Linked DNA regions of Stegostoma tigrinum. The protein of the gene in region 4 binds, or shares a complex with, the protein of the main gene of each other region. Links are inferred from orthologs where the notes say so. Each region holds a gene or a part of one and is shown on either strand. Other genes may lie near its edges. The genes, in order: thoc1, thoc7, thoc3 and thoc2.

Region 1 (7,086 bases), on a different chromosome or scaffold from region 4:
CAATAGAACTCCTTTAGAAACTTTCCTCCAGTCTGAAACATATCTACTGACAATTAAGAGGTAACAAGGTGTGGAGCTGAACACATCAGGCCAAGCAGCATCAGAGGAGCAGGAAAGCTGACATTTCGGGCCTAGACCATTTATCTGTTTCCTCACATTCAGTCAATTTTGTATTCATTTTGCTTAACTGTCCCTTTTGTACCATGACCTACAACTTTTCTCACAAGTCTGTTGTGTAGGGCTATTCAAATACCTTTTGGATATCCATGTACAAACACACCAACAGTGTTACCTTAACTGATCCTTTCTTTTACCTCTTCAAAAAACTCCCAGCAAATTAGTTAAGCATGATTTCCCCTTGAGAAATCCAAATCCATGCTAACGTATCCTGACCTTTTTCTGTGATTAATAATTCTATCCCAAATAATTATTTCTAGATGTTTTCCTACCACTGAAATTAAACAAACTGGTCCTAATTGATGGGATTATCTTCACCACCCTTCACGAATAAAGCTGTAATATTTGTAATTCTCTAGCCTTCAGGCACTTTCTAAGTCCAAGAAATGCAACAGTCAGTGCCCCTACAGTTTGGACACCCTCATTTCCTTCAAAAAATGTCAACATATCTCATCTGGTCTGTATGCCTTATGAACTTTAAGTGCCCACAAGCTATCCAAACTTCCTTCTTCATTGATTTTTTAAAAACTCTTCCAGTGATCGAATTGCCTCCTCTGTCACCGTGACCTAAGCAGACCTCCTCTTTTGTAAAGTTAAATGAATGCTTTTCATTTGTCACATCTGCCATGCCCCTCTGCCCCCTGGCATTGATCTCTTTTTGGTCTCTGGTTGAAATTCTCCTTTAACCACTCTCTTACTGTTCACATTACAGACAAAATCAGTCTGTGTAATGTTGCAAATTGTTAGGCATAAAGAAAACACAATTAAAGAGTAAAACCTGGAAATAACAGATGTTGTACTGGAGATCCATTTTCTTTATACAGAAGCCAAAGTGGACCAGTATACATCAAGTTTTACTGGTTTTAAATGTTGCAAACTGTAACAAATACATCAGCAGGGCCGAAAAATACTGCTTTTGAATTGTGTAGCCCTGGAAACAGCTAAGCTTTAAAAGCAATTTTAAATACTTTTCTGGTCTGCAATGTTGCTTTTAGTGATTTGTTCACTTCTGTCAATAAACTTGGTTCTTCAATACCATTCAATTTATTTTCCAACATACGGATGATGTTTCTGTTTTCTTGACCTAAGGACATACACTGTGTATTTATCGACTGGTTTGTTGACAACTTAACTTCCCAGTCAACAAGTTCTCTAAAGTCTGTTTGGATTTTGTTGCATTCTTATTCATGCACAAAAGAACTGAAATATCCATTCAATACTTGCTATTTCTATCATTGCCACAGTTTATCTTGCTCACTGATTAGTGACCCAATCACGACATTATCCTTTGATATTTGTGTCGACAGAAGAAAGTATATAGTTCATATTCCTTACTAATTTCATTATACAATTTATCCTAGCTTTACTGAATTATTTTTACTTCTCTTCTAAATTTATCATATACCCTATTGTCATCTTCTCAGATAGTATTTTAGCACTTCTTACCTGTCTTGTACCTCTATCATGTCCCAGAAGTGGATATCTTGTTTTTAAATTTTAGTACAATTCATTTCTCATGATTTAATATCATTTGTAAATTTCCTGATTCTTTTTATCTTTGCTTTTAAAGATCTTTTCCCAGCTTAACTTTAGTTGTTCTGAATTTGCATTTTCTAGCCTATTATCTTAGTTTTTCCCCCCCAAAGTCTCTCCCAATTTAAATACCAAACACTACTATGTTGTAATTACAAACAAAAGAAAAATTGTTAGAAAAGTTGAGCAGGTTTGGCAGCATCTGTGGAAAGAAATCAGAGTTAACATTTCAGGTCAGTTGACCCTTCCTCAGAATTATGTTGCAATTAACCAACTAAGACACTCCAAAGCTCTCTGATCGCCTTTCTGCTCTGGTTCGTTAGCTACTACATGATCAGGTAGTGATTCTTACCTTGGACTTCCTGAATAAAGAAAAGGAGAGAAAGGATTCCTGTAAATACTGTAAAATCTCAATTCCCTTTCATACATGTAAGTCATCATTGGATAAGCATATGGATGTACATGGAATAGTGTAGGTTAGATGGGCTTCAGATCGGTATGACAGGTCGGCACAACATCGAGGGCCGAAGGGCCTGTACTGTGCTGTTATGTTCTATGTTACTTGGCCCAGCAAGTTTAGTCAAAGATAGTCTAAATATTTAACACTTATTTAATGCCTGCTATTCAGCTCATAATTATTTTCCCAATTCCTTTTAAGTGCCTGGTACTTTATCATGTAGTACAGACAGGTTAACAGGTCCCTTGTCTTTTAAGGCATATCTTTCTGATACAAAGAATTTTCCATTCACTGATAACCCTTGGAAGTTGTAGGCTTCAATCCAGCTCTAAAGACTTCAGCGTATAATCAAGTCTGGCAATTTTAATACAGTCAAGGCTATCTTTCAGGTTAGACTTCAAATAAACGACCCCATTAGATGGTACAATTTGAAAAACGGAGAGGTTTGCCTGATGATCTGATCAGAAATTAATTATCCTTCAACATCATTAATCAATACACGCCCCCTTCTTTTAAAAATCAGGAACCGAATATACGATAAATCAGTGAACATATCAGTTTAATTCGGCACACAAGTCGACCACACTGGGCGCGAATAATGCAGATTTTAACAAATTAGTGCCACGCCGCATTTCCAGACCGGTGCTGGATATCGCTTTTGACGGCCGATCACTCCCTCCCCAACAGTTTCATTTAGCGTGAACTACCTACACCATCTATTATAAAGCAACAAAGTAAAATAGCCGATTAGTATCGGACGCAAAACTACCAACAACTCCTTACACTGAATTTCTGTCGAGCCTCATTAAACTGGAACAAACCAGGAGACATGTTGACCGGAAGTCCCGAACGTGAAGCAAGCTGGGAAATAGAATCTGGGCACAACAGCGCCCCTTCCGTTAGAATGGATTATTGACTAAACATGACAGGTGGAAGATGGGAGGGAGCCCAATAATAGTGTGGGATATTATGCAAAACCGAATGTTATGGTATGCAAACATTATTTATTGATCAGGGTCGGGGAGGAGGTCAAATTCCAGGATAACAAGGCGTGGAGCTGGATGAACACAGTAGGCCAAGCAGCATCTTCGGCGGAGGAAAGCTGACGTTTCGGGACTAGACCCTTCAGAAGGGTGAGCTTTCCTCCGCCGAAGATGCTGCTTGGCCTACTGTGTTCATCCAGCTCCACACCTTGTTATCTCAGATTCTCCAGCATCTGCAGTTCCTATTATCTCTGATACAAATTCTAGGATTTGAGATAAAGAGATGAGGGGAAATACGAGGACCATTCATTAGGTAATGGCCAGGATCTCTCAGCAGGTCGTGCAAGCAGAGACAACAATTTCAGAAGGAAATTGTTTGGCCATGAGAAAGGTCAACTAAACTGCCCGACACAGAGTAGATATTAACTCAGTGGGCTCAATGACAACCTGAAATGGTTCCATAACAGTATGCATAACTCAATATTATAGTTTGCAATATCAAAAACCAGTAAAACTTGAAGCATACTTAGATGCCAAAAATGGATCTCCTGTATGTTTGTTTCCAAGTTTTATTGCTTATTTACGTTTTTTTTCTGTCTGGGAGGAAGCCCATCAGTCTGCAACTTTACACATTATTTTTAACTATACTGTTGCGCAGAGTCCAGCATCACAAAGAGCACAATATTATAGTTTGCATCATTATGAAGAACACAAAATTACAGTTTGAAAAATTAGAGAGTCTAGAGAAAAGTATTGTTTTGCACGCTGTGCAGACAGATCATACCATACAAAATGCATCAGGGTAGCAGAACAGCTTGCAGAAAACAGTGTTTCAGCAGCAGGGAAGATGTAGAGAGAGACCAGAAGTAACATTTGAGAGGCCATTCAAAAGTCTGATAACAGCTGGGAAGTAGCTATTCTTGAATCTATTTTCGTACCCAATGGAAGATGGTGGAAGGGAGTATAACCGTGGTGGGAGGGATCATTGTTAACCTTGGTTGCTTTCCCAAAGCAGCAAGAAATTTGGATGAAGTCAATGGATTGAGGGCTGGTTTGTGTCATGAATTGGGCTGTCATTTTTTGAGGTCTCGGGAAAAGTACTTGCCAAACCATGCTGTGATGCATCCAGATAGGATGCTTTCTATGATGCATCTATAAAAATTGATGAGAGTCCTTGTGGACATTCTGAATTTCCTTAGCCTTTTGAGGAAGTAGAGATGTTGTTGTGCTTTCTTTCATCGTGGTTTGATCAGAACAGATTTTTGGTGATCATCACTCCCAGGAGCTTGACACTATTGACTATCTCTGTCTCAGCATCACTGATTGCATACAGGGGTGTGCCCTCCACTCAGTTTCCTGAAATCAAGCAATTAAAATGCTGGATATATTCAGCAGATTCCATAAACACCTGCTGAGAGAAAAGTAGCATTAATGTTTCAGGTCTTTGAACTGCCGTATTGCTCCTGAATCCTGGAAGAACCTTACACTTTTGTCACAAAGCTACACATCACTGAGCATAAATTGAACAGTGTGAGTTGAGTTTGAACTATCTCACAAGAGCACATGGACATGAATACACAAAAAAAATCAATTAGTCTTTTCTGAATGAATTTATAAGTCAGAACCTGGTGTATCTATGATTACCATGTATCACAGTATTCAGTTTTAATGCATGATTATAAATATTGTTGTTTTGAAATCTAAGCCTGAAGATTGTTTATGATTTTGCCTTTTACTTAACGGTCTGAATGCAAACTCATAGCGTGGCATCAAACAACATGATAAAAGATGGTGGAAATCACAGGATTCCCTGTCTTGAAAAAGAGTGAAGATCAAGAAACAGACCTGATATCCTGTGGAAAATAGAAGAATTTTAAAATGTAAATTTCAAGCATTTGCGGAATGGAGCCATAAAAGTCACAGAACTGCATAGCTGCTGTGAGGGAAACATTGAACAGAAAATGTCTTCCAATACCACCAGAGCACAACATTTCAAAATGCCTTTTAAATTCAGGAATAGAGCAAAGAAGCATTTAAATAAACAGTGAGAGCAGTAAAAGCCCACAAGCAGCTTATGGGCAAAATCTGAATCCAGGATTTGTGGGAAGAGTCTGATTACTGGATAACCAAAATAAATTTGATTCCTTAAGGGAAGGGACAAAAAGTTTTGTTTCCATTTGAAAAACTAGGTTGAGGAGCACTGTTAAGATGTTTAACAGTATGTAAACAAATTTTTGAACTATTTTCCTGCAGCAAAGTGAATAACGTCACAATAATTTTTCAGGTACAGCTTTAAGAAAGTTAACTGAAAAAGGAATAAAAAGGAATATGGATCATTATTGCTACTGAAGGTATCAGACCCTTAACTGTAAAGATAATGAAATCTTTTAAATTTTGATGGTTTTATGGACAAATTCGAGGTTTATTTGGCAACTGAGCAGTTTTACTAAATTTATTCATTAAAATAAAAAAACGGATAAAAGAAGAGGATCAATTTGATCATGAATTCAGAGTGTATATACCTGGGACATAGAGTTTATCTGCCATGATGAGCTCAGGCCAAACCTCAAGGATTTTCTTTAAACCGCATTTATTTACATTGTATAAATTAGAGTATTGCAATAGAAACATCTATCCCTAACCACTCACCTTCTGGCAGGGTGTCTCCCACATGACCACTGAGACACTTCAGCTCACTTCAAACTCATCTATATATTCCTTAAATCTAATCTCTACATATCCCTATATATTTCCCATTTACAAATATTGTAGCCCATTATCTGCATGGAAAAAGACATTTTTCATGGAATTGAGCTATTGATGTTGGTGACCACTATTGTTTTCCATAATAACAAGGTAGATATTCCCTTTAAAATCAAAATGTTCAACTCCAACTATTGTCACAGCAGTTTGGGGAAGGTGGATGGCAATAACGGTACAAAGTACAACAAGAGGAAGTCCACAACGGATTTGGAGATTCTGGACCTCTATCCAGACTTTTTTTATTGTCCTTTCATGGGACGTTGCCACTACACATGAGGTCAGCGTATTTCCCCACCCCTATTTGCCGTTGAACTTGCCAGATGTAGATGACAGCTAAGCATCAATAACTTTGCTCTGGTCTGGAGCCATATGTAGGTCAGACTAGGTAAGGATGGCAAATCTTACTCCCCAGAAGATGTTTGTGAACTTGATGGATTTTTATAATTGATATTATTTTCACAGTCACCTTTATTAAGACCAGATTGCAATTCCAGTTTTTAGTAATTAAACTTAAAGGCAATCAGCTGTTACGGTGCAATTGTAACCTGTGCCCCCAGTGCATTTGCTTGGACCTTCAGATCACTAGTCCATTGACATTAGTATGATACTACTCTCACAAGGGGACAGGAACATATGTAAAGAGTCAGAAGGAAGAGAATCAAGAACAAAAGGTAAAAAATGAAATAAAGAAAGTGGTAGGTGGAGAAATCAATGTTTGAGACCAAACAGAGCCATAGTGAAAAATAATGGGAATGCAACAGTAATGGTTAAAAAGACAAGTCTTAAGGTTTTGAAAGAGGTGAAAACAGGTGTGATACAGTCAGGATTATGGCAACATGGTCATAAGGCGACAAGGAATGAGAACTGAAAATTCAGGCATATCCAGTATTTAAGAACGGCATACCAAAAGGAAAAAACAATGGAGTTGCATCTTTGAGGAAATTGACTTAATAGTGAGGATGGATATTAGATCTGATGATGTGGAACTTTGCTGCTAGAAACATAGAAAAACACTAAAGTGCAAAAAGAATTAGTCAGGGTTATGTATAGATTCCCAAACCGTAGGAGTTATATTGGGAATGGCATTAAACAATAAATTTCAGACAGACTCAATAAAGGAATATTTGTAATTATGGGTGACTTTAATCTTCATATAGTTTGGGCAAATCAAAT
Region 2 (7,725 bases), on a different chromosome or scaffold from region 4:
CCTCCTCTTCCACACCAGCTCCCTCCCTTCTCTTTCCCTCGTCTTCCCTTTCCATTTACCATCTGAACCTCTCCTGTTTTCTGCATTTCTCCCCCCTCATCTCCTGCTCTTTCCTGTCTCTTGTCTCCTCCTTCATCCTCCCACTTTTCACACTCCCACAGCTCTCTTTCTCCCCCTTCCTGTCCTGTTTTTCTATCTCTCTGTCTCCCGCTTACCATATTCCCCTCCTTCGTCTTCCCATTCTCTGTTATTCCATGCAACTGCCCCCTCTTCTTTTATAGTTATAAAGATCCACAGCACAAAAAAAGGTTATTTGGCCCATAACTTTTCTGCCAGTCAAAAACAAGCATCTAACTATTCTAATCCCATTTTCCAGTACTTGACTGATAGCTTTGTGTGCCTTAGCATTTCAAATCTTCCGTGATAAACACACTGCCTTTTTTAGATGCTGTCTTTATCTCCTTAAAGTAGCTAAATGATAGGACAGAGTCTATTAGGGTGCCTGTAGACTACTCCCTATCAGCTTTTTCTTGCCCTTGTTGTTTCTTACTTCTACCCATTTAGATGTGGCAGATGGATTTTAATACAAGCAAGGTTACCCATTTTTGGATTGCAAAAGAATAGACAAGGGTATTTTTTTTATAAGGCATAAATTTAAATACATTGCCTGATCAATGAGATTTAGGGATTGAGGTGCATCGATCTTTAAAATGCCACGAATAAGTGCAGAATTTAGTCAAGAAGAGTAATGGAATGCTGGTTTTCATACTAAGGGGCCGAAATATGGTGATACAGACGTAAGGCTGCAGTTATACAAAACAAAAACAAAGTTGCTGGAAAAGCTTAGCAGGTCTGGCAGCATCCACGAAGGAGCAAACAGAATTAACGTTTCGGGTCCAGTGACCCTTCACAGATGCTGCCAGACCTGCTGGGCTTTTCCAGCAACTTTGTTTTTGTTCTGATTTACAGCTTCCACAGTTCTTTTTGTTTTTATGCAGTTATACAAAACCCTTGGTAAATCCCATTTAGAGTACTGTCAGCAGAACTGGGCACCATGCCTTAGGAAGGATGTTTTGGCCCTGGATGGAGTTCAGCACAGGTTTAAAAGGATGATAACTGAACTTCAGGAATTCAAATTATGATGAGAGATTAGACAAATTAGGCCTTTACCTTCTAGAATTTTCAAGGTTAAAAGGTGATCCACTCAAGGTCTTCATAAAGATAAACTATTTCCATTGGTTGCAGGTTCAACAACTGGGGACATAGTCTAAGAATTAAACTAGACCATTCAGGAGACATGTTAGAAACTACTTCTATATGTGATGAGTAATAAAGTTTGGAACTGTCTTCCTCAAATGATGTTTGATGCTAATTCAATTGTTAAATTTAATAAATCTGACAGAGACAATTTATTTTAACAAGCAAGGGTATCAAGAGATTTTGGGTCCCAGGCAGGCATATGGAATCAGGCTATAGATCAGCCATAGTCTTATTGAATGGCAGAGCAGGGTCAAGGGGCTGAATGGTCTAGTCCTGTTCCTACTCTACAACTATCAATTCAAGATAATTTCTTGCTATTGTACTTATTCCATTTCTTCTTAAAAATCCCAAATGCCCTTTTCTTTCTGTCTGTTTGAAAAATCACATACCCTTGAAAATTTAGCTCCCAGCAATGATTTCCTTGAAACCATGTCTGTGTGATGCCAACAAGGCAATACCCATTAACTGCTATTTATACCGTTAATTCACTTATTTTGTTTTTAATAAAGAGCTGTTAATTTTGAAATAGCTTCCAACATGGACCTGCACTGATTTGCCAACTGGGGAAGGGTGGTAGGTTGTAATTAGCAGCTTGTGTTGGACTGATCCAGGGATAGTGATCAAGAGCCTGGGATACTGGCTGTAACACATGATTTGGCGAGCATAATCATCAGAGACTGTTGATTAGGCTGTGCGAAAAGGCATTTTGGTACATATTGTCACTTGTTGGTGAAGGAGAACTTTGGTTGTGTGTCTTTTGGTTTCTGACGTTATTCCCCCTCCCTCATCACCAACCCCTGTCCCTCTGTCATGTCCCCCAACCACTGACAACCCCTCCTTCTGTCATTCCAGCCCCCGACTGTTGTCTCCCCACCTTCTGTTGTTAACTCCCTCCCTCTGTCATTACCCTCTCCCTGTATTACTTCCCCTCCCCTCCTTCATCGCCCCCTCCCTCTGGTCATTCCCCCTTTGTCCTTTCCCTCTATCAATAACACTTCCCTTCCCTCTTCCCTCACACCCTCCCTCTGTCATCCTCCTAGATGAATATATCTAGATGAGAACGCCACTACTGTTACAGACTTCATTAGCAAATGTGTAGAGGACTGTGTGCCAAAGAAGTGAATCTGAATGTTCCCGAGGTGGAAACAACAGATGAGCCGGGGATCCATTGCCTACTGAAATTCAAGTGTGTCGAGTTCAAGTCAGGTGGCCCTGACCTTTACAGGAAGTCCATATAGAACGTCTGTAAGGCCAGAAGAGACACTTGAAGGCAATATCGGACTAAGCTAGAGCCCCAAACTAACCACACAGGCGCCCACCATTTGTGGCAAGGCCTACACAACACAACAGGCTACAAAATGAAGCAGAATTAATAACTGATGAAAATACACCCCTCCCTGCTGTGCTCAATGCACTTTATGCTCGTTTCAAACAGAAGGCCAGCGAAACGGTGTCACCTGCCCCAATAGACTCAGATGCATGTGTTCCCTCCGTCACCGCTGCAGCTGTCAGCTCGGCCTTCTTGAGAGTAAACCCACTAGAAGTGACTAGCCCAGATGGAGTCCCCGGCTGTGCACTTGGATCCTGCGTGTAAATCCTAGTGGAAGAATTAGCTTGGAGACAATCAGGATTGCAGATACTGGAAGCTGGAACCAATAAACGTGAAGCTGGAAAAGCACAGCCAGTCACACAGCAACCAAGGAGCAAGAAAGTCAATGTTTCAGGCCAAAACCCTTCATCGGGACTCACGGAGAAGGAGTAATCACTGACATCTTTAACTTCTCCTTAGTACAATCTGAAATCCCCAACTGCTGCAAGAAGACCACCATCATCCCAGTGCCAAGGAAAATTCATGCAAAGTGCCTCAATGATTCATCCATCGTTTCCGGTTGGAGAACATACAGATTGCCTTTTTTGGCATGCAGTCGTTTATACACTTGCTTATGAAGTCTGTATCGGTAGTGGCAAACTCATCTAGGTATTCTAGTTCTGACCTCCATAGTCAATGGCTCATATAAACTGAAGCCTCCCAGGCTGCCTTGATCCCTTGCAATTCGCCTTTTGTCCCTACAGGTCTACATTAGACACCATTTCCCTGGCACTACACTCATCCTTGGAACATCTGGACAACAAGGTTACCGATGTCAGACTCCCACTTATTGATTACAGCTCTGCCTTCAACACTACAATTCTAACCAAATTAATCTCTAAATTCCAAGACCTGGGTCTCTGTTCCACCCTCTGCAATTGCATCCCCAACTTCCTGACCCACAGACCGCAATAAATGAGAAAATGCAGCAACACCTCCTCCGTAACAATCGTCAACACCGGTGCCTCACAAGGCTGCGTAATCAGCCCCTTACTATACTCTCTGTTACACGCACGGCAGTGTGGCCAAATTTCATCATAACTCCATCTACAAGTTTGCTGATGACACCACTGTTAGATCTCAAACAATGATGAGGCAAAATACAAGTAAGAGAGAATGCTTAGTAGTGTGGGTAAAGATAACAATCTCTCCCTCAAACCAAATGAAAGAGCTGGTCATTGACTTCAGGAAGCAAGATGGAAGGCATGCCACCATCTACATCAATGGAGATGAGGTGGAAATAATTGGGAGCATCACGTTCCTAGGTGTGACAATCACCAACAATCTGTCCTGGTCCATCTACGTTGATGTGACAGTCAAGAAAACACAAAATGCCTCTATTTCTTCAGGAGGCTAAGGAAGTAGCAATCGGTAGTAGATTCGCCAACTTTTAGTACATTTAAGTCATCATTGGACAAGCATATGGACGTACATGGAATAGTGTAGATTAGATGGGCTTCAGATCGCTATGACAGGTCGGCACAACATCAAAGGCCGAAGGGCCTGTACTGTGCTGTAATGTTCTATGAAATTTGCCATGTCCATTAAGACTCTTACCAACTTTTACAGATGCACCACAGAAAGCATTCAATCTGGATGCATCATGGCTTGGTGCAGCAACTTGTGTGCCCATGACCATAAGAAATGACTGAGTTGTGAACATGCCCAGTCCATCACACAAGACAATGACCCACGCATTGACTCTACCCACACTTCTCACTGCTTTGGAGAGGCTTGCCACCATAATCAAAGCGACCTCCCACCCTGGTTATAACCTCTTCCAACTGCTTCTGTCAGGCAGAAAATACAATAGCTTAAACACATGTACCAGCAGGTTCAAGAACAGCTTTTTTCCTGCTGTTATTCGACTCCGAATGGACCTTTCAAATTTAATGTTGACCTTTCTCTTTGTGCGCCTTCTCTACAGCCGTAATACTGTATTCCTCTCAGGTCCAGTACCCTTGTCGTACGATCTACCTGCACGACATACGATAATAATAAATAAAATACCTCCACTCCCCACTCGCCCCCGGACTCCGCCTCCCGATCTCTACGTCAACATGACTCCGCCTCCCGAAACCCCCCACCCCCAAATACCTTGACTCCACCTCCCAAACCTCTGACCCCGCCTCTTGGTGCGCCGCGGATGTTTGCTCGGCCTGGAGCCGCCATGTCGGTCACTGATGGTAGGGCCTGTTTCCTTTCCTAGTTGTGCGCTGCCTGGACCTGAGGCTTGGGCCCTGGACCCTGCTTTCGGGCACTGAGTTGGGGGAGCGGTGCGATTGTCGTGTTGAATCGGCTCGTTGTTGTTTCAGCCGGTCCGTGCTGGTGGAGCCCGGGTCTCTGCCGGCTGGATCCTCGGGTCATGATTCTGATTAAGTTCCGGTTAAACCCACAGGCAGTCGGTTATGTGATGGAGTTTTAAAGAGACCAAGTAGTTCGCAGAGGTGGGAGTGGAGTAGGGACCTTGCCAGAGAACAAAGTATCAGTAACTGAGGGCGGAGCAGCAGAGGATATGGTCAGTGGGCCCTTCACTCTGTTCTGCTTTGGACCTATCCCTGACACCCGCACTTTGCAAATAAACATTTACAATCAACAGGAAGAGAAGGATCTGTCCCAGCCTTTACGAGAAGGGCGGAGTTGATATGGCTTGATGATGGCGTCTATAGCTTCCCCGATCCTTCTTTGATCCATGATAACAAGGTGTAGAGCTGGATGAACACAGCAGGCTGAGCAGTATCAGAGGAGCAGGAGAGCTGACATTTTGGCCTAGACCCTTCTTCAGAAATTGGTCAGACACTGCTCTGTGGAACTATAACCGAGAAGTGTGAGGACAATTTCCATACATAGGTCAATGTCACCTTTACTCCTCACGTTCTTCCCTTGATCTCAAGGCTCTTGCTTCTCATCGTGGCCAAAATGTACTCCACGTTTAATGTTAGCAAAGCCAAAAAAAACTTTGTCTTCACTTTAGTCAATATCTATTTGCATTTGGCCATGACTTACCAGCTGGTTGCTTTCAAACCTTTGGTCGTACAACTATGCTTGGCAAAGATAAGCATCATTTCCCACCTTCTGTTGAGACTGCATTATTTCTGACACTCTTTATCCTATTGTTACCAAATGCAAATGCTTGAGGCTGGACTTGTCTAGTATTTTCCCCATCTTGCCTCCACCTTCTACAAATTATTCCTAATGAAGTAGACTGTGCATTGTTTGCTCAAAATCCTATTCTTATCACCCCTGGGAATAACTTCATGATTCTGATCTTTACTTGCTGATTCTTTTATTTGTTTGCTATACCTTAGTGCAGTAATTACTTTTAACTAAATAGCTGACACACTCTGGATGTCAGCATACCCGACATCAAGTGAACCCAGATAGCTCTGTTGGTATGTTACGCTTTTAAGCAGGGTTTTTTGTGGTGCAATGGTAGTGCCTGTACTACTGAGTTAGGAGACCTGCTTTCAAGTCCCACCTGTCCCAGACATGATTGAACAGGTTGTTTAAAATGTCTACTCTTCATCTAGAGATGTGTTATAGATTCATAGAGTCGTACAGCACGAAAACGAAAAACTAGATGCTTCGGTCCAACCAATTTATGCCGAAAGTCATCCCAAACTAAACCAGTTTCACCTGCCTGTTCCTGGCCCATATACTTCCAAACCTTTCTTATTCATGTACTTACCTAAGTGTCTTTTACATGTTCTATTTGTGCCCACATTCACCATTTCCTCAGGAAGTTCATTCCACACAGGAACCACCCTATTGTGTTTTTAAAACAAGTGCCCTCCATGTCATTTGTAAATCTCTCCCCTGTCATCTTTAAAAATATGCACCTTAATCTTGAAATGCATGACCCAGGGAAGAGATACCTACATTTAACCTTATCTCTATACTCCTCGTGATTTTACAAACCTCCAAAAGATCACCTTTCAACCTCCTCCATACTTAACTATCTTCAGATCCCAAACCATCTTTCCTTTTTACCCTTTCCCCATAAAGGTGCTATTAATGTCTGATATATCAAGTATGTTGAATTATTTTAGTCTTAACTGTAAAAAGATCATTGACAAAAGTTTAAATCTCACCAAATAATTCAGTTAACTATTTAGAGACTTTTGAATTGAACTTCATATGCACTAAATCTATGATGCAAATTCAGATGTTTAAGATTCCCTCCTGCACAGAGTTTTGTCACTTTTGAACTTTATTATACTTATCATAAACTGTCCTAAGGTGCTTCACAGGAGCATTATCAAAATTTGATACCAAAGCTCATAAGGTATGAGGACAGGTGACCAAATGCTTCTTTAAAAGATAAGTTCTAAGGAATTCTAACATTTTCCAGTTCTTCCCTTCTCTGCTGCCTTACATACTGAGTGTTTCTAACTTTTTCTGTATTTGTTTCAGACTTCCAGCAGCTGTGCTATTTTGATTTTATGCCAAGTTTAAGGAGCATCTTAAAGGAGGAGGAGAGAGTTGGAATGGTTTACGGATGGAATTCCAGAGCTTAGGGTGGAGTGATTAAAATCAGGTGTGCATAAGGCAGAATACGGAAAAATAATGAGATCTCATAGGATTGTAGTTCTGGCAGAAGTTGTAGACACAGGGAGAGGTGGAAAACTGAGAAACGTGAAAGCAAGGATAAGCTATTTTTCAAATTGTGGTGTGGCCAGACTGGCAGTATAATGACGCACAGATATAATAGATACCTGATGGCTGAATTATAGTGCCACTTAGGTGCATTGTAACTTTAAAAAAAAGTGTGGCAACGAATTACCATGTGTGCATTCATGAACATCATTTATATATTGGAATTTGCCTATCAAACCTATTTATCAAGCAGTACTTGCTGACTAGCAATAATGTTGGGTGTTTGCTTTTTTTTTCAGATGCGTGTTAATTTCAACCTTTACTGTAGGCTTCATGAGTTTGCTAAGAACTGAAGTGAAAATAGATAGCTTGTAATTTTCCTGGCGTTTCTCAATCCATTCTGCTGAAGAGAGGCATTATTTGACTGCTTTGCTCTTGTGCTGTTAATGTTTCCTGCAAGATTTTGGAAATCATAGTCACAGTCTTTGTGACTCTCAGTT
Region 3 (7,867 bases), on a different chromosome or scaffold from region 4:
AAAGAAACCCGAGCTTATCCAGCCTTTCAGTATAGCCAAACTGTTCCATCTCAGGCAACATCCTGGTGAGTCTCCTCTATACCCCATCCAAATCAATCACAACCTTCCTATAGTGCAGTGACCAGAACTGCACGCAGTGCTCCAGCTGTGGCCTAACCAAAGTTTTGCACAGCTCTAACATAATCTTCCTGCTTTTATATGCTTTGCCACAACTGATAAAGGCAAGTCCCATTTGCTTCAGAGATAATGGGAACTGCAGATGCTGGAGAATCCGAGATAAAGTGTAGAGCTGGATGAACACAGCAGGCCAAGCAGCATCTTAGGAGCACAAAAGCTGACGTTTCAGCTAATGTGGCAGCTTTTGTGCTCCTAGGATACTGCTTGGCCTGCTGTGTTCATTCAGCTCGACACTTTGTTGTCCCACTTGCTTTAACTACCTTACTAACCTGTCCTGCCACCTGTGGATAAAACACCCCAAAAACCCTGTTTCTGAGCTGCCATTCATTGAGTACTCCTTTGTCTTGTTACTTCCTTCCAAAGGGCATCACCTCAAACATATCCAGTTTATATTCCACTGATTTACCATCTGGCCAATACATCTATATCCCCTTGTAACCGAAGAACTGCTTCCTCACTGTCAACTATCCGGCCAATCTACATATCATCTGCCAACTGACTTATCACCCCTTCCACAATTTATCCTCTCTCATGTCTACATGTAACAAACAATAAGGAATCCATACTGATCCCTATGGACACTGGCCTCCAAACACACAAACAACATTTTACCATTATCCTCTGTCTCCGAACGCTGAGCCAATTTTGGATCCAAATTGCCAAGTTACATAGATCCATAAGACCATAAGACATAGGAGTGAAAGTAAGGCCGTTCGGCCCATCAAGTCCATTCCGCCATTTAAATCATGGCTGATGGGCATTTCAACTCCACTTCCCTGCACTCTCCCCGTAGCCCTTGATTCCCTGTGAGATCAAGAATTTGTCGATCTCTGCCTGGAAGGCATCTAACGTCTTGGCCTCCACTGCACTCCGTGGCAATGAATTCCACAAGCCCACTACTCTCTGGCTGAAGAAATGTCGTCTCATTTCAGTTTTAAATTTACCCCCTCTAATTTTAAGGCTGTGCACACGGGTCCTAGTCTCCCCACCTAACAGAAACAACTTCCTAGCGTCCACCCCTTCTAAGCCATACATTATCTTGTAAATTTCTATTAGATCTCCCCTCAACCTTCTAAACTGTAATGAGTACAATCCCAGGATCCTTAGCCGTTCATCATACGTTAAACCTACCATTCCAGGGATCATGTGTGTGAATCTCCGCTGGACACGCTCCAGGGCTAGTATGTCCTTCCTGAGGTGTGGGGCCCAAAATTGGACACAGTATTCTAAATGAGGCCTAACTAGAACTTTATAAAGCCTCAGAAGCACATCGCTGCTTTTATATTCCAACCCTCTTGAGATAAACAAAAACATTACATACGCTTTCTTAATCACGGACTCCACCTGCAAGTTAACCTTTACAGAATCCTAGACCAACACTCCCAGATCCCTTTGCAATTCTGCTTTACGAATTTTCTCACCATTTAGAAAATAGTCCATGCCTGTATTCTTTTTTCCAAAGTGCAAAATCTCACATTTACTCACATTGAATTTCATCAGCCATTTCCTGGACCACTCTCCTAAACTGTCTAAATCTTTCTGCAGCTTCCCCACCTCCTCAGTACTACCTGCCTGTCCACCTATCTTTGTATCATCGGCAAACTTCGCCAGAATGCCCCCAGTCCCTTCATCCAGATCATTAATATACAAGGTGAACAGCTGTGGCCCCAACACTGAACCCTGCGGGACACCACTCATCACCGGTTGCCATTCCAAAAAAGAGCCTTTTATCCCAACTCTCTGCCTTCTGTAAGACAGCCTATCCTCAACCCAAGCCAGTAGCTCACCTCGAACACCATGGGCCCTCACCTTGCTCAGCAGCCGCCCGTGAGGCACCGTATTCCATGTACTTTCATTTTCTTTATTAATTTCCCACATGGTACCTTGTCAAAACCTTTGCTAAAATCCACATAAACATCAAATGCACTACCCTTATCCGCACATCTCGTCACCTCTTTGAAAAATTCAATCAAATTTTGTTAGATATGAATCTCCCTCTAAAGTGCCGACTATCCCTGATCAAACTTTGCCTTTTGAAGTAGACATTGATTCTCTCTTTCAGAATTTTTTCCAATAGTTTCCTACCATTAATGTGAGACTCAATGTTCTATAATTCCCTGGTTCATCTCTCCAACTCATCCTGAAAAGTGCAACCTCATTAGTTGTTCTCTAATCCTCTGACACCTCTACTGAGGTCATACAGGAATTAATATTTGGGTCAGAGCTAATGTAATTTCCTCTTTTGTCTTCCACAGCAGCCTGGGATACAAATCATCTGGACCTGGGGATATCTTCATTTTAAAGCTTCCCAAAATCTCTAATGTCTCATCACTCCCTATGCCAAACTGCTCAAAAACATTACAGACTCTTTTCCGAAAAATCAATCAGAAACCTTATTACCTTGAAAAAAATACTTGGTTGAGGACTTGAACTGCCAAAAAATTCAAAACGATGGACCATGTGCTGGAAAGTGGGATCATTATTGACAGTAGTTTTTTTGTCAGTGCAGACTTGAAGGGTGGAAGGCTGTCATCGATGATTTTATGATCTGGGACCTGATATATAACTACAGTTTTTTGAAAACTTAGTGTTATCAATTTGTCCCGTCATATTTCCAAAATTTTACTCATGAACATTGTTTTCCTCTACCATAAACAAATATCCAAAACAGTAGGGGCACATTGTATTTTTTGTTACTGCTTCTGCAATCCGTTAAAATTAGTATGGACTGATCTATCAGTCAGGAGACAGAAGTGAAGTACTCATTTAACATGTTTAACATTATAAACTCATTTGATGTCCTCTGACTCCACACATAGATTGCCCCCTTGGTCCGTCGCAAGGCTTGAATTTTCCATGGTAATCCTCTGCCCCCTAATATACTTATAGAGCATCTTGGGATTCTCCTTAATCTTACTTGCCAGTATTTTCTCATGCCCCTTCTTTAGTTTCCCAATTACTTTCTTAAGATCCCCCCTTTGTGCTTCCTACACTAGGGCAATGAAGCTTCTGGTCATATGCTCCCTTTGAAGCTGTTAAAAGTCTCTCTTTTCCTTCTTATCCTGTACTGAATATTCCTAGTCATCTAGGGTCCTCTGTGCTTGTTGCTCCTACATTTGCCCCTAAATGTACACATCTGACATTCACCCAGAGGGTTAGAAAACAACCACCCAGAGGGTTAGAGAATTGTGGACATCCAGACTCACCGCCTAGAGGTACAGTCAGAGGTAGAAACTCTCAAGACATTTAAGAACAATTTTGATGGGAACTTGAAACACCATTGCATATGAAGCCAAGAGCCAAGTGCTGGAAAATGGTATAGAATAGATGGATGTTTCACGGCCAGTATGGTATGATCGGCTGAAGGGGAACTTACCATACTGTCAAAAACCTTTCTGACCAAGGCTGGTTCTACTTTATTATTTTGATATTAACATTATTTTTTTCCTGCTTTCCCCCTCTTTTCTTTAGAATAAAGTTCCATGGATTATAGACATCCTCCAGTACTCAATCTAAATTTGCTGTACTTGAAACATTTTATAACTCTCACCTAAAGTATACACTTGTGTACTTTCAGCAGATGTTGGTGAATGAAAACCCTGGTTTAGTTTCCCCTACCTAGCTTTACCCTGGAGCATTAGAGGCTGACAGCTAACCTTATAGAGGTTTATAAGATCATGATAGCGTGGATAGCCAAGGTCTTTTGCCCAGGGTGGAAGAGACCAAAACTAGAGCCAAAATGTCAGTTTTTGTGCTCCTGAGATGCTGCTTGGCCTGCTGTGTTCATCCAGCTACACACTTTGTTATCCAAAACTAGAGGGCATAGGTTTAAGGTAAGAGAGGAAAGATTTAAAACAGACCTGAAGGGTAACTTTTTCACACAGAGGGTGGTGCATGTTTGGAATGAACTGCCAGAGGAGGTGGTGGAGTCTGGTACAATTACAACATCTTAAAGACATCTGGATGTGTACATGAATAAGAAGTGTTTAGAGGGATATGGGCTAAATGCTGGTAAATGGGACTTGATCAGTTTAGGATATCTGATCGGCATGGATGAGTCAGACCGAAGGGTCTGTTGCTGTGCGGTATGACTCTATGAATCTATGAGTGAGGATTGTACAGCCCTCTCCTGTGAAAGAACCAAACAGAAATGCATGAACAGAGATAATGGGAACTGCAGATTCTGGAGAATCCAAGATAACAAAGTGTGTAGCTGGATGAACGCAAATCCCCACCTATACTCTTCTCTCCACCTATCTTCTCCTCTACCCATCTTCGGTCCGCCTCCCCCTCTCTATTCCAGAACCCTCTCCCCATCCCCCTCTCTGATGAAGGGTCTAGGCCCGAAACGTCAGCTTTTGTGCTCCTGAGATGCTGCTCGGCCTGCTGTGTTCATCCAGTTTCACACGTTGTTATCTCAGAGATGCAGTGAAAGGGTCATTACCCCTTTAAGACAGTAGTAAGTGATATCTGACCGTACCATTTCTTTCCAGGGATGGATTTTAGAGCACAAACTTTTCAAAAATGAAAACTGGTTGCATTTTCAAATATGTTTAGAGAGAAAACATGATTTTTAAAACGACATAAGTATCAGTTGTGCCCGAGGTCTGCAGTCACCAAGTAATCCCTGTGACCATTCGCTCACGCCTCCCCCATCCAGATTGTGAGAGGAGTGGACCGAGCCGGCAAGATGGCGGCAGCCAGTTACTTGCTGGAATCCCAGGAGCATTTCAAAAATAACGGCCGCACCAAGGAATTCTCGGCCCATACGGCCAAGGTGCACTCGGTGGCTTGGAGCTGCGATGGACGCAGGCTCGCGTCTGGCTCCTTCGACAAAACAGCTAGTGTGTTTGTGCTAGAGAAGGATCGGCTGGTCAGTGGCGAGATGAAACAGAGAGAGGATGAGAGGGGAATCAACCTTCAACTCGGTTTATCTCCCTCTTGCCCCAACACACACACACACACACACACACAGCACACAAGCCGTCCGGCCTCCGTCACTAAAGTATCCAGCACCTGATAAAGTACCCCCAATACAAGCCCTCCAAAATGCTCCCACTCCCCCCGACACCCGTACCCGTGCTCGTTCGGTGTTCTGTTTCTACTTTCCCCCCGCACCCCCTGTCATAAAAACCGAAAGGGCTGCGGATGTTGTAAATCAGAAACAAAACAGAAAAACTCAGCAGGTCTGGCAACATCTGTGAAGAAAAAAAAATCAGTTAACTTTTCGGGTCCGGTGACCCTTCCTCAGATGCTGCCAGACCGGCTGAGCTTTTCCAACGACTTCTGTCTCTCTCCCCGTCATGACTACTTAGTAACCTTAACTCCTGGAATCCCTACACTGCGGGAAAAGGCTATTCTGCCCTCTGAAGGAATCCCACCTTGACCCCAAACTTGTTCCCCGTAATCCCACATTTACGATGACTAACCCACCCAGCCTACACATCCCTGGATACTATGGGGTAATTTAGCATGGCCCATCCACCTAACATGGATGTAAGTGCTGGCTCCATGGTAACACGTCCGCCTCAGTGCCAGTGGACCGGTTTTGGTGCCAACCTTGGGTGACTGTGTGGGGTTCTGCTGGGTGCTCTGGTTTTGTCCCATAGCCCGAAGGTGTGCAGGCTAAGTTGGTTAGCTGTAGTCAATTCATAGTTATATGGATAAAGTGGGATGCTCTCCAGAGGGTGGTGCACGTTTGATGGGCTGTATGGTCTCTTTCCAGACTTTAGAGATTCTATGATTTTTGGGAACCTCATATAATTGAAATTGATCAGCAGAGACTGAACTCCTGAGAATTTTCGGTACACACTTTCACTTTTTTTTTCTTTTAATCTTAATTTTCATGAAGAATGAGGTCAGCCAATTGATACCCTTCGGAAGTCACAAATGAACTGTAAATTTTTTGTATGTCTACCAGTTATTTGAAACAAGGTAATGTTTGCACTTTTGCCTTTCTCACATTGAGGCATGATATAAAATTGTGTTCATTACTAACCGTGACTGCATAGTTATTTTGTTGATGTGCTGAGTGAGAAATGGTTTTCTATGCTTTGAAGAAATTTTCAACTGTACTTGCCATCATCACAGGGAAATAACCAATGTGACACTCATTTCCAGGAAAGCTACTCACTCACCAACAAATATAGTCCACCTTTCTTTACAGAAAGTGGATCATACAGCTATAACATTTTTATTTCGCATTCAGTTCACTTATTTCTTTATGTAACATTTTTGCGTATTTCAGGTTAAGGAGAATAATTATCGTGGTCATGGTGACAGTGTGGATCAACTTTGTTGGCACCCAACCAATGCAGATCTCTTTGTAACTGCCTCTGGTGACAAAACGGTTAGAATCTGGGATGTCCGAACTGCAAAATGCGTTGCTACTGTGAACACGAAAGGTATGTTATTGAGGAATTTCCTGGATACTGTAATATATGACTTAATGTATAAAAATTTTGTTCATATAATGAAGGGTTAGGAATGACTTGACTGACTACAGTATGAAAATGCTGCTTCCAACTTAAATAGTTGAGATGCTCTATATTTAGGATTTTTGTCACCAAAGATTGCATATCATCGTTCTCTACAAATATACTATCATTTCTTAGTATGTTATTTCAAGACTGTAAGATATAGGAGCAGAATTAGACCAATTGACCCATTAGGTTTACTGTGCTATTCAATCATGGCTGATATGTTTCTCAACAGCATTCTCCTGTCTTCTTCCTGTAACCCTCGATTCCCTTACTATTCAAGAACCAATCTTTCTCTTATTTAAGCACACTTAATAACTTGGCCTCCACAGCCCTCTACAGCAAACGTGTTCCACAGGTTAACAGAGAGAAACAGGGGGAGGCGGATAGAAGATGGATAAAGGAGAAGATTGGGTGAGAGGAGATAGACAGATCAAAGAGGTGGGGTTAGAGCCAATGAAGGTAAATGTAGGTGGGGAGTTAGGGGGGGATAGGTCAGTCCAGGAAGGATGGACGGGTGGGGTATGGTGGGAGCGGGACGAGGTTAGTGGGTAGGGGATGGGGGTGGGGCTTGAGGTGGGAGGAATGGTTAGGGAGGCGGGGACTAACTGGGCTGGTTTTGGCATGTGGTCGGGGGAGGGGAGATTTTGAAGCTTGTGAAGTCCACATTGATACCCTTCGGCTGCAGGGCTCCCAAGCGAAATATGAGATGCTGTTCCTGCATCTTTCGGGTAGCGTCATTTGTGGCAATGCAGGAGGCCCAGGATGGACATGTTGTCTGAGGAGTCGGGTTGGCGGGGGGGTGGGAGGAATTGAAATGGTTCGCGACTGGGAGGTGTAGTTGTTTGTTGCGAACAGAGCGTAGGTGTTCCGCAAAGCAGTCCCCAAGCCTCCGTTTGGTTTCCCCAATGTAGAGGGATTAGCGGATACAGTATATGTGAGAAGTCTTCTGAGAGCCTGGGACCAGGGTGACGTATAGAGGCAGGTGTAGCACTTGCTTCTGTTGCAGGGAAAAGTGCGGGGATGGTGGGGCTGGAGGGGAGTGTGGAGTGGACAAGGGAGACACGGACAGAGTGGTCCCTCTGGAAAGCATATAAGAGTGGGGAGGGAAAAATGTCTTTGGTGGGGTTGGATTGCAGATGCCTACAGGAACGGCATCAGAATGATTCTACACACCCTGACACACTCATCACACTACCCTACATCAGGAA
Region 4 (7,986 bases):
TCCCTCATCCCCTATCTGAATTCACCATGGCCATGAGACACACCTCCTGCTTCTCTGATCCCATCCCCAAACTGATGATCACACAACTTCCGATCCTGGTGCCTCTCTTCTAACACTGTCCCCGCCTCCATCATATCTTCTGTTAGCATCTCCTTCAAAGTCAACGTTGAAACACAGAGTCCTTGCAAAATGCCATCCCGTGCTCCAACCTTCAACTCCCTCACTTCCCAAATCTATTGCCATTTTTTCAAAAATTCCACCTTTGAATCATTCCAATTAATTTTTTGCCCTGCCACAGCTCCAAAAAGGCCTAGAACCAATTCATTAATATTATATGATTGTACCATAAATAAACTTTTGCCCACAGTTATGCTCAACCTATCTGTAGCCTGACAGTTGACCACACCACTCTTCTTTAAATGCCTCTCCATCACTGTCGAGTTGATAGATAAAAATGGAACAAGGCAGACACAATCCTATCAAATCATAGCCTGAAAATTACTTGCAATGATTTCTCTTCTTGCTCCTGCACAATACCCTTGGCTTTCCCCAAGGACTTATTTTTGGCTCCGTCTCACATATTCCTTTGGCATCATCTTCAAAAGGCAGTGTGTTGGTTTTCACAATCACCCAGCATTGCCTCACCACCAACTCTTACAACACTGTTGCTAAATTATCAGACTACTTATCCAAATACAGTACAAGAACAGCAGTTTTCTCCGAAAAAAAACCTTCCAGGTTGAAGCTCTTATTTTAATTCCTTCAAATTCCAAATTCTGTTCGCCAACTTGCAACTTTGAGACACACCTCCTGCCCAACAAGTCTGGGATTCAGCATTTTTGTTTTCCACAAGCTTGGCATCATTATGACCCTGAGTTGAGTACCAGCTCACATTTTCCTGTCTCCACTTTTGTAGCATGGTATTTCTTCAGCCATTTCAGGTCATCTGCTGCATTTTCCGTTCTCCATCCATTCTGTGACCACCACCCACCTCCCCAACCCCACTGGTTTCCAATCAATGTTTTAAATGCAAAATTTGCATTTTTGTTTTCAAATACCTGTGGCCTCAACCCTTCCTCACTAACTTCCTCCAACTATACAACCTTTCAAAATGTTCACATTTTTCTAATTCTGGATCCTTGCACATATTTAAATCACATCTGTTCCACCTTCAGTAACTGTATTTTCAATTGCTTCTCCATTATTTTACAGCTGTCTTTTTCTCTTTTTTAAGACACTTGTTGAAACCTACCCCTTTCTAATCTAGTATCTCACGTGGCTGTGTATCACATTGTGTTTTATAATCTTCTCGTGAAACACCTTAATGTTTTTGCTCATTAAAAAAGTGTTATACAAATATTGGTTGCTAATGTTATTATTACCATAGCACAAGCTCTCATGAAAATCTGGTGTATTTTGATTATAATTCAAAGAAAGCTTGAATAAAGTCCAATTTTATTTTGTACCATTCAAAACTTGAAAGTCATAAATTCTGTTTTCACAAAAATTTGTTGAAGGTTATAAAGATTTAAAGTAAGCAATGCAATATTGATAATAATCTACTTTTCATCAGATTCAACTGCAACATGACCTTCTGTTCCCAATTAGTGCAAATATTCTATATGGTATTTTTGCTCTAAATTTCAGAACACTCGCGTTTCAGTTAACCATTTGATAGTCCCACATTGTAACAGATTTAGATCAGAAATTTTATGGACAAAACCCATAACTGCTCAATATCAACCTGGATAAACTGAGTTATGAAAAGTATACCAATTGCATCATAACCAGGATTTCGATATTTATGGGCTGTTACTTTGCTATAATCACATTGTTAGTGTAATCACAGATCCAATTCCAAGTCTGATAATGTCAGAAAAGAGATCACAACTTTCTGGAAGTAGACATGACAAAGTGTGGAGCTGGATGGGCACAGCAGGCCAAGCAGCATCTTAGGAGCTTTTGTGCTCCTAAGATGCTGCTTGCCCTGCTGTGTTCATCCAGCTCCACACTTGGTTTTCTTGGATTCTCCAGCATATGCAGTTCCCATTATTTCCTGAGGAAGACCTCTTTCTCCGTTTCATTTGAAGTCATTTTGGATTCCACAGCCCTAATTACATCAAACAAGTTTGGATGATACAAAAACAAAAAATCATTTTTCATGACAATATTTTTGTATTGGTGTATCTTTAGATTTAAAATTGATTTGTTTAATAAATTTCATCAAAATCCAACAAACCGCAATGAAACAGATTAGGTTGATATATATGTCGCCCTCTATCCTTAGTTTCCAACTAATCATAATCGTTTAAAGATCAGAATCAAAATGACAACATAACTTACATTTCATATGCAATCCATTCCAAAATACTTTGCAGTAACCATTACTTTGTCTGAATATTTTGGCATGAACTGAATTGTGGGAAAGACGTAATCTTGTCACTTTCAACCTAAATTTAGATTTCAATATTTATCTTATGATGAACAAATCAACAACATAATTAACACCTTTGAAAGTTAAAAAAGTCCTGAAATCAGAAACCTATTTCCTACGTCAAATAGCACATTTATCTCGTTACCTTTAAAACAAAACAAATTCTCATAACCAAGACATTATGCAAGAGACCCACATATTGTCGATTTACGGACCAGAAACAGTCAAGTTTGTTATTAAGCCTTTTCTGGATTAAAACCGATTAGGCCACCACCGAACTAAACGCCACCACGTTTTACATTATGTAAAATTACACAAAGCTCAAACATGGGGGGGGGGGGGGTTACGCGATTTTCATTCGCAGCCCAATCGCGTTCTGCACTCTGCCTATTCTAAGATACAAACGATCAGCTCCATATGCACACTTAGGGAGTTTATTTCCGCCCGACTTACAAATCCGTTTTGCCCCCTTTCTCCCAATTCTTCAACCAGTCGCCATGGAACACCATCACCGCCATCTTAGCTGCACACCATTCTGCACTCATAGCCCGGATGTATCGCCCGGTGAGATGAGGGGGTCACAGGTCAATGTTACCCGCTGCATGTTGGGATACTGAGGGCAAGCCAATTGTTAGTGGAGGAAGCCCTGTGAATTTTAGGTATGGTTTGTTCCCTGGCTTTACCGAGGCTAAACCAGCAGTGCGACAAACTTCTCCTAGCATTTGCTGAGAGAGGAGCCTTTTGGATCTTGCAAGAACTGGGAAAATTGGACAATATGTTCAGTTGCCCCTTGAATCATGTACTTCCTGTGGGGAAAGCACCCTTAGTAGGTACTTTCTGAGGTAAATCAGATTTCGTGCTCAGGAAATTTTTTGTGTTTCCCCCAATTCCTATTTGCGTTGAAAGGTTATGGTGAATTTTTTTTTCCATATTAAAAAAATAAATAAACTTTAGATTAGCTGAAGTTTATTCTACACATCTAAGAGTTGGAAGACTACCTGTCACAACCAGAATTAGAGTTGTACAACAGACACATACCCTTCGGTCCAACTTGTTCATGTAGACCAGAGATCCTAAATTAACCCAGTAACGTTTGCCTACATCTGGCCAATATTCCTGTAAACCCAAAATAAAAACAAAAAGATTCGTGAATGCTGCAAATCAGAAGCAAAAACAGAAATTGCTGGAAACGCTCAGCAGGTCTGGCATCATCTGTGGCGACAAACTCAGTGAAAATGTTTTGGGTCGAGTGACCTTTCTTAAGAACCCTCTAAACCCTTCCTGTTCATGTACCCGTTCAGATGCCTTTTAAATGTTATAATTTTGCTAGCCTCCACCACTTTCTCTATCATCTCATTCAGTCTGTCTCATCCCATTTATCTGTGGTTTTTTTGATATTTTTTAAAGTTCCAAAAATAAACATATAACAATAATTATTGCTCCAAGAAATAAAAGAAATCAGTTCCAGCACTGAAAAACTCAGAAAGAGGAACAGCTCTTACAACCTTAATTTCCTCTCAACCTCCATTTTGGTCACTCATTTTCGGAACATATATCTGTTAGGATACATTTGTTTGGGAATACTGGTATAAATTCAGAAACCAACAAAGGAGAACTAAAAAGATAATAAAGTCAAAGAAAATAAACTGCAAGGACAAGCTGATAAGGAATATAAAAACTGATGATAAGATCTTCTTTTAAATATATCAGAGGGAAGATAGGTCAAAGTGAACGTAGACCTTCTTGAACATTGAACCCGGACAGATGGTTATGGTGAACAAGGAAATGGCAGAAGAGTTATAAACTCTCTTTTGCATCAGTCTCAATGGTTGAGTATACTTTGAAATCCCCTTAATGCAAAAGAATATGGAGAATAATTAAGTACCATCCTGATTACGAAAGAAGAATTTTTCGACGAACTAATGAGGTGAGAAACAGATCAGTCCACGAGTCTTGATGACTTGCGTGCAAGGATCTGAAAAGAGGTAGCTGCAGAGATAGTGATGCATTGATGGTAATTTTCCACAAATCATTGGATTTCAGGGAAGTACCAAATTAATGGAAAACTGCTAATGCAACACCCCTATTCAAAAAGGGAGTAAGGCAAAAAGCAGATAACTATAGGCTGATTAGCGTAACATCAATTATTGAAAAAGTATTGGAATCAATTCTTAGGGAAGTAATAGCAGAACTTTTGGAAAATGGCACAAAAACAAAGTTCTGGAAAAGCTTACGTTTCGGGCCTAGACCCTTCATCACCCCTCTCTGATGAAGGGTCTAGGCCCGAAACGTCAGCTTTTGTGCTCCTGAGATGCTGCTTGGCCTGCTGTGTTCATCCAGCCTCACATTTTATTATCTTGGAATCTCCAGCATCTGCAGTTCCCATTATTTCTGGAAAAGCTTAGCAGGCCTGGCAGCATCTGTGAAGGAAACAACAGTTAACGTTTTGGGTCTGGTGAACCTTCCTCAGAACTGAGGTGTTCGGAGGAAGGATCACCGGACCCAAAACATTAACACTGTTTTTTCCTTCTCAGATTCTGCCAGACCTGCTGAGCTTTTCCAGCGACGTTTTTGCTACTGATTTACAGCATCCGCAGTTCTTTCGGTTTTCATTTGGAAAATGGGAACTATTCATGCAGAGTCATTATGGTTTCATGGAAGGCACATTGTCCCTGACTAACATGGGATTCCATTTCATGGGGCATTGGCATCAGTTTTTTAAACTGGGGGGATCTGTACCGTTGGGGACGGTCTCCACCTGAACCAATCTGGAACCAGTGTTCTAGCGAAAAGGATAAATAGGGTGGTCAGTAGGACTTTAAACTTCTGAGTTGGGGGGAAGGGAAGGCGAAAGTGACAGGGAGTATGGAGTTAAATGGAAAGATAAGCAACAGAATAGCAGGTGTACAGGTGGGTTTAAGCTTGAGGCAGACTAGGAATACAGCAAAAAGGAAGGATAGCTTAAGACATCTTAGGATTTCCAGTATCTCTAATAGTGATAAGAAAGTTAGCATTGAGGCACTTCACCTAAATGCTTGTACTATTCACAACAAAGTAGATGAATTAACAGCACAAATCATCTTGAATGATTATGATGTGGTAGGCATCACAGAGACATGGTTGCAGGGAGTTCAGGACTGGCAGTTAAACATTCAAGGATTCACAACTTATCGAAAAGACAGGGAGGTGGGCAGAGGGGGCGGGGCTGCCTTGTCAGTTAAGAATGGAATTAAATCCACGGCACTGAATGACATAGGGTCAGAGGATGTGGAGTCTGTGTGGGTGGAGTTGAGGAACCACACAGGCAAAAAAACCATAATGGGAGTTATGTACAAACCTCCTCACAGTGGTCAGGACCAGGGGCGCAAGATGCACTGGGAAATAGATATGGCATGTCAGAAAGGCAAGGTCACGGTGATCATGGGGGACTTCAATATGCAGGTGGACTCGGTGAATAATGTTGCCGGTGGATCCAAAGAAAGGGAATTCATGGAATGTTTACAGGATGGCTTTTTGGAATAGCTTGTGATGGAACCCACAAGGGAGCAGGCTATTCTGGACTTAGTGCTATGTAATGAGCCTGACTTTATAAAAGACCTTAAAATAAGGGAACACTTAGGAGGCAGGGATCATAATATGATCGAGTTCAGCCTGCAGTTTGAAAGAGAGAAGGCAAAATCGGACGTAATGGTGTTATAGTTAAATAAAGGTAATTACAGGAGCATGAGAGAGGAATTGACGAAACTCGACTGGAAACAGAGGCCTAGCGGGGAAGACAGTAGAGCAACAATGACAGGAGTTTCTGGGTGTAATTGAGGACACAGTGCAGAGGTACATCCCAAAGAAAAGAAAGATTTATCCGGGGTGGGATTAGACAGCCGTGGCTGTCAAAGGAAGTCAGGAAATATATCAAAGAAAAAGAGACAGCCAATAAAGTGGCCAAGAGCACTCGGAAATCAGAAGATTGGGAAGGCTACAAAAACAGACAGAGGATAACAAAAAGAGCAATAAGGAAGGAGAGGATCAAATATGAAAGTAGGCTAGCTAATAATGTTAGAAATGATAGTAAAAGTTTCTTTCAATAAATAAGAAACAAACGAGAGGCAAAAGTAGACATTGGGCCCCTCCAAATTGATGCTGGAAGGCTAGTGATGGGAGATAAGGAAATAGCTGAAGAACTTAATAAGTACTTTGTGTCAGTCTTCACAGTGGAAGACATGAGTAGTATGCCAACAATTAAGGACAATCAGGGGGCAGAGTTGAGTATGGTAGGCATTACAAAAGAGAAAGCGCTAGAAAAGCTAAAAGGTCTAAAAATTGATAAATCTCCTGGCCCCGATGGGCTACATCCTAGAGTTCTGAGGGAGGTGGCTGAGGAAATAGTGGGGGCTTTGGTCATGATCTTTCAAAAGTCACTGGAGTCTGTGAAAGTCCCAGATGATTGGAAAATTGCTGTTGTAACCCCCTTGTTTAAGAAAGGATCAAGGCAAAAGATGGAAAATTATAGGCTGATTAGCCCAACCTGGGTTGTTGGTAAAATTCTAGAATCCATTGTTAAGGATGAGATTTCTAAATTCCTGCAAGTGCAGGGTCAGATTAGAACAAGTCAGCATGGATTTACTAAGGGGAGGTCATCCCTGACAAACCTGTTAGAATTCTTTGAAGAGGTAACAAGTAGGTTAGACCAGGGAAACCCAGTGGATGTTATCTATCTAGACTTCCAAAAGGCCTTTGATAAGGTGCCTCACGGGAGGCTGCTGAGCAAGGTGAGGGCCCATGGTGTTCGAGGTGAGCTACTGGCTTGGATTGAGGATTGGCTGTCTGACAGAAGGCAGAGAGCTGGGATAAAAGGCTCTTTTTCGGAATGGCAACTGGTGACGAGGGTTCAGTGTTGGGGCCTCACTTGTTCACGTTATATATTAATGATCTGGATGAAGGGACTGGGGGCATTCTGGCGAAGTTTGCCAATGATACGAAGATAGGTGGTACTGAGGAGGTGGGGAGGCTGCAGAAAGATTTAGACAGTTTAGGAGAGTGGTCCAGGAAATGGCTGATGAAATTCAACATGAGCAAATGCAAGGTTTTGAACTTTGGAAAAAAGAATACAGGCACAGACTATTTTCTAAATGGTGAGAAAATTCGTAAAGCAGAAATACAAAGGGATCTGAGAGTTTTGGTCCAGGATTCTCTAAAGGTTAGCTTGCAGATAGAGTCTGTGATTAAGAAAGCGAATGTAATATTGTCGTTTATCTCAAGAGGGTTGGAATATAAAAGCAGTGGTGTGCTTCTGAGACTTTATAAAGCTCTAGTTAGGCCCCATTTAGAATACTGTGTCCAATTTTGGGCCCCACACCTCAGGAAGGACATACTGGCCCTGGAGCATGTCCAGCGGAGATTCACACGGATGATCCCTGGAATGATAGGTTTAACGTATGATGAATGGCTGAGGATCCTGGGATTGTATTCATTAGAGTTTAGAAGGTTGAGGGGAGATCTAATAGAAACTTACAAGATTATTTATGGCTTAGAAAGAGTGGATGCTGGGAAGTTGT

Evidence for each region.
Region 1: the proteins of thoc2 (region 4) and thoc1 are in contact, whole or in part, in a cryo-EM structure (PDB 7ZNL), measured with the Homo sapiens proteins. The link is inferred for Stegostoma tigrinum from reciprocal best matches to the Homo sapiens genes THOC2 and THOC1. Residues at the interface, in NP_001075019.1 of Homo sapiens: Leu155, Phe156, Tyr157, Lys158, Gln160, Asn163, Leu164, Leu165, Arg166, Asn169, Glu170, Ala173, Lys174, Ile176, Ala177, Gly180, Gln181, Asn195, Lys197, Ser198, Leu199, Ile200, Gly201, Cys202, Phe203, Asn204, Leu205, Pro207, Asn208, Arg209; in NP_005122.2 of Homo sapiens: Asn134, Arg138, Asn141, Leu144, Arg145, Lys149, Thr153, Cys156, Gly157, Gln160, Leu161, Ala164, Arg165, Phe167, Gln242, Phe245, Arg246, Tyr297, Ala299, Lys300, Phe301, Arg319, His320, Leu323, Gln324, Ile327, Tyr331, Arg373, Phe374, Lys376.
Region 2: thoc2 (region 4) and thoc7 share a complex: the UniProt entries of both Homo sapiens proteins name them as parts of the transcription/export (TREX) complex. The link is inferred for Stegostoma tigrinum from reciprocal best matches to the Homo sapiens genes THOC2 and THOC7.
Region 3: the proteins of thoc2 (region 4) and thoc3 are in contact, whole or in part, in a cryo-EM structure (PDB 7ZNL), measured with the Homo sapiens proteins. The link is inferred for Stegostoma tigrinum from reciprocal best matches to the Homo sapiens genes THOC2 and THOC3. Residues at the interface, in NP_001075019.1 of Homo sapiens: Tyr395, Arg396, Pro401, Lys402, Gly403, Ala404, Lys405, Gly406, Ser407, Pro446, Ile447, Ala450, Arg454, Cys500, Asn501, Ala502, Cys503, Met504, Glu506, Pro563, Arg566, Gln567, Lys570, His573, Tyr603, Leu604, Thr605; in NP_115737.1 of Homo sapiens: Asp193, Met196, Ile208, Val217, Gln218, Asn221, Ala222, Pro224, Ser225, Ala244, Asp245, Ala246, Leu247, Ser249, Trp251, Asp252, Asp254, Glu255, Leu256, Val257, Cys258, Val259, Cys261, Ser263, Leu265, Asp266, Pro268.

What each region holds. Positions count from the first base shown.
Region 1 is NC_081358.1:78,360,410-78,367,495, reverse strand, and holds the start of thoc1 (THO complex subunit 1), read right to left. Parts: upstream 3,016-7,086; 5' UTR 2,999-3,015; coding exon 2,951-2,998; intron 1-2,950. UniProt on the Homo sapiens protein: Component of the THO subcomplex of the TREX complex which is thought to couple mRNA transcription, processing and nuclear export, and which specifically associates with spliced mRNA and not with unspliced pre-mRNA.
Region 2 is NC_081364.1:48,290,298-48,298,022, forward strand, and holds the start of thoc7 (THO complex subunit 7 homolog), read left to right. Parts: upstream 1-4,715; 5' UTR 4,716-4,775; coding exon 4,776-4,815; intron 4,816-7,042; exon of another isoform or gene 7,043-7,166; intron 7,167-7,725. UniProt on the Homo sapiens protein: Component of the THO subcomplex of the TREX complex which is thought to couple mRNA transcription, processing and nuclear export, and which specifically associates with spliced mRNA and not with unspliced pre-mRNA.
Region 3 is NC_081366.1:46,163,965-46,171,831, forward strand, and holds the start of thoc3 (THO complex subunit 3), read left to right. Parts: upstream 1-4,852; 5' UTR 4,853-4,867; coding exon 4,868-5,050; intron 5,051-6,424; coding exon 6,425-6,581; intron 6,582-7,867. UniProt on the Homo sapiens protein: Component of the THO subcomplex of the TREX complex which is thought to couple mRNA transcription, processing and nuclear export, and which specifically associates with spliced mRNA and not with unspliced pre-mRNA.
Region 4 is NC_081368.1:29,291,351-29,299,336, forward strand, and holds the start of thoc2 (THO complex subunit 2), read right to left. Parts: upstream 3,004-7,986; 5' UTR 2,980-3,003; coding exon 2,888-2,979; intron 1-2,887. UniProt on the Homo sapiens protein: Component of the THO subcomplex of the TREX complex which is thought to couple mRNA transcription, processing and nuclear export, and which specifically associates with spliced mRNA and not with unspliced pre-mRNA.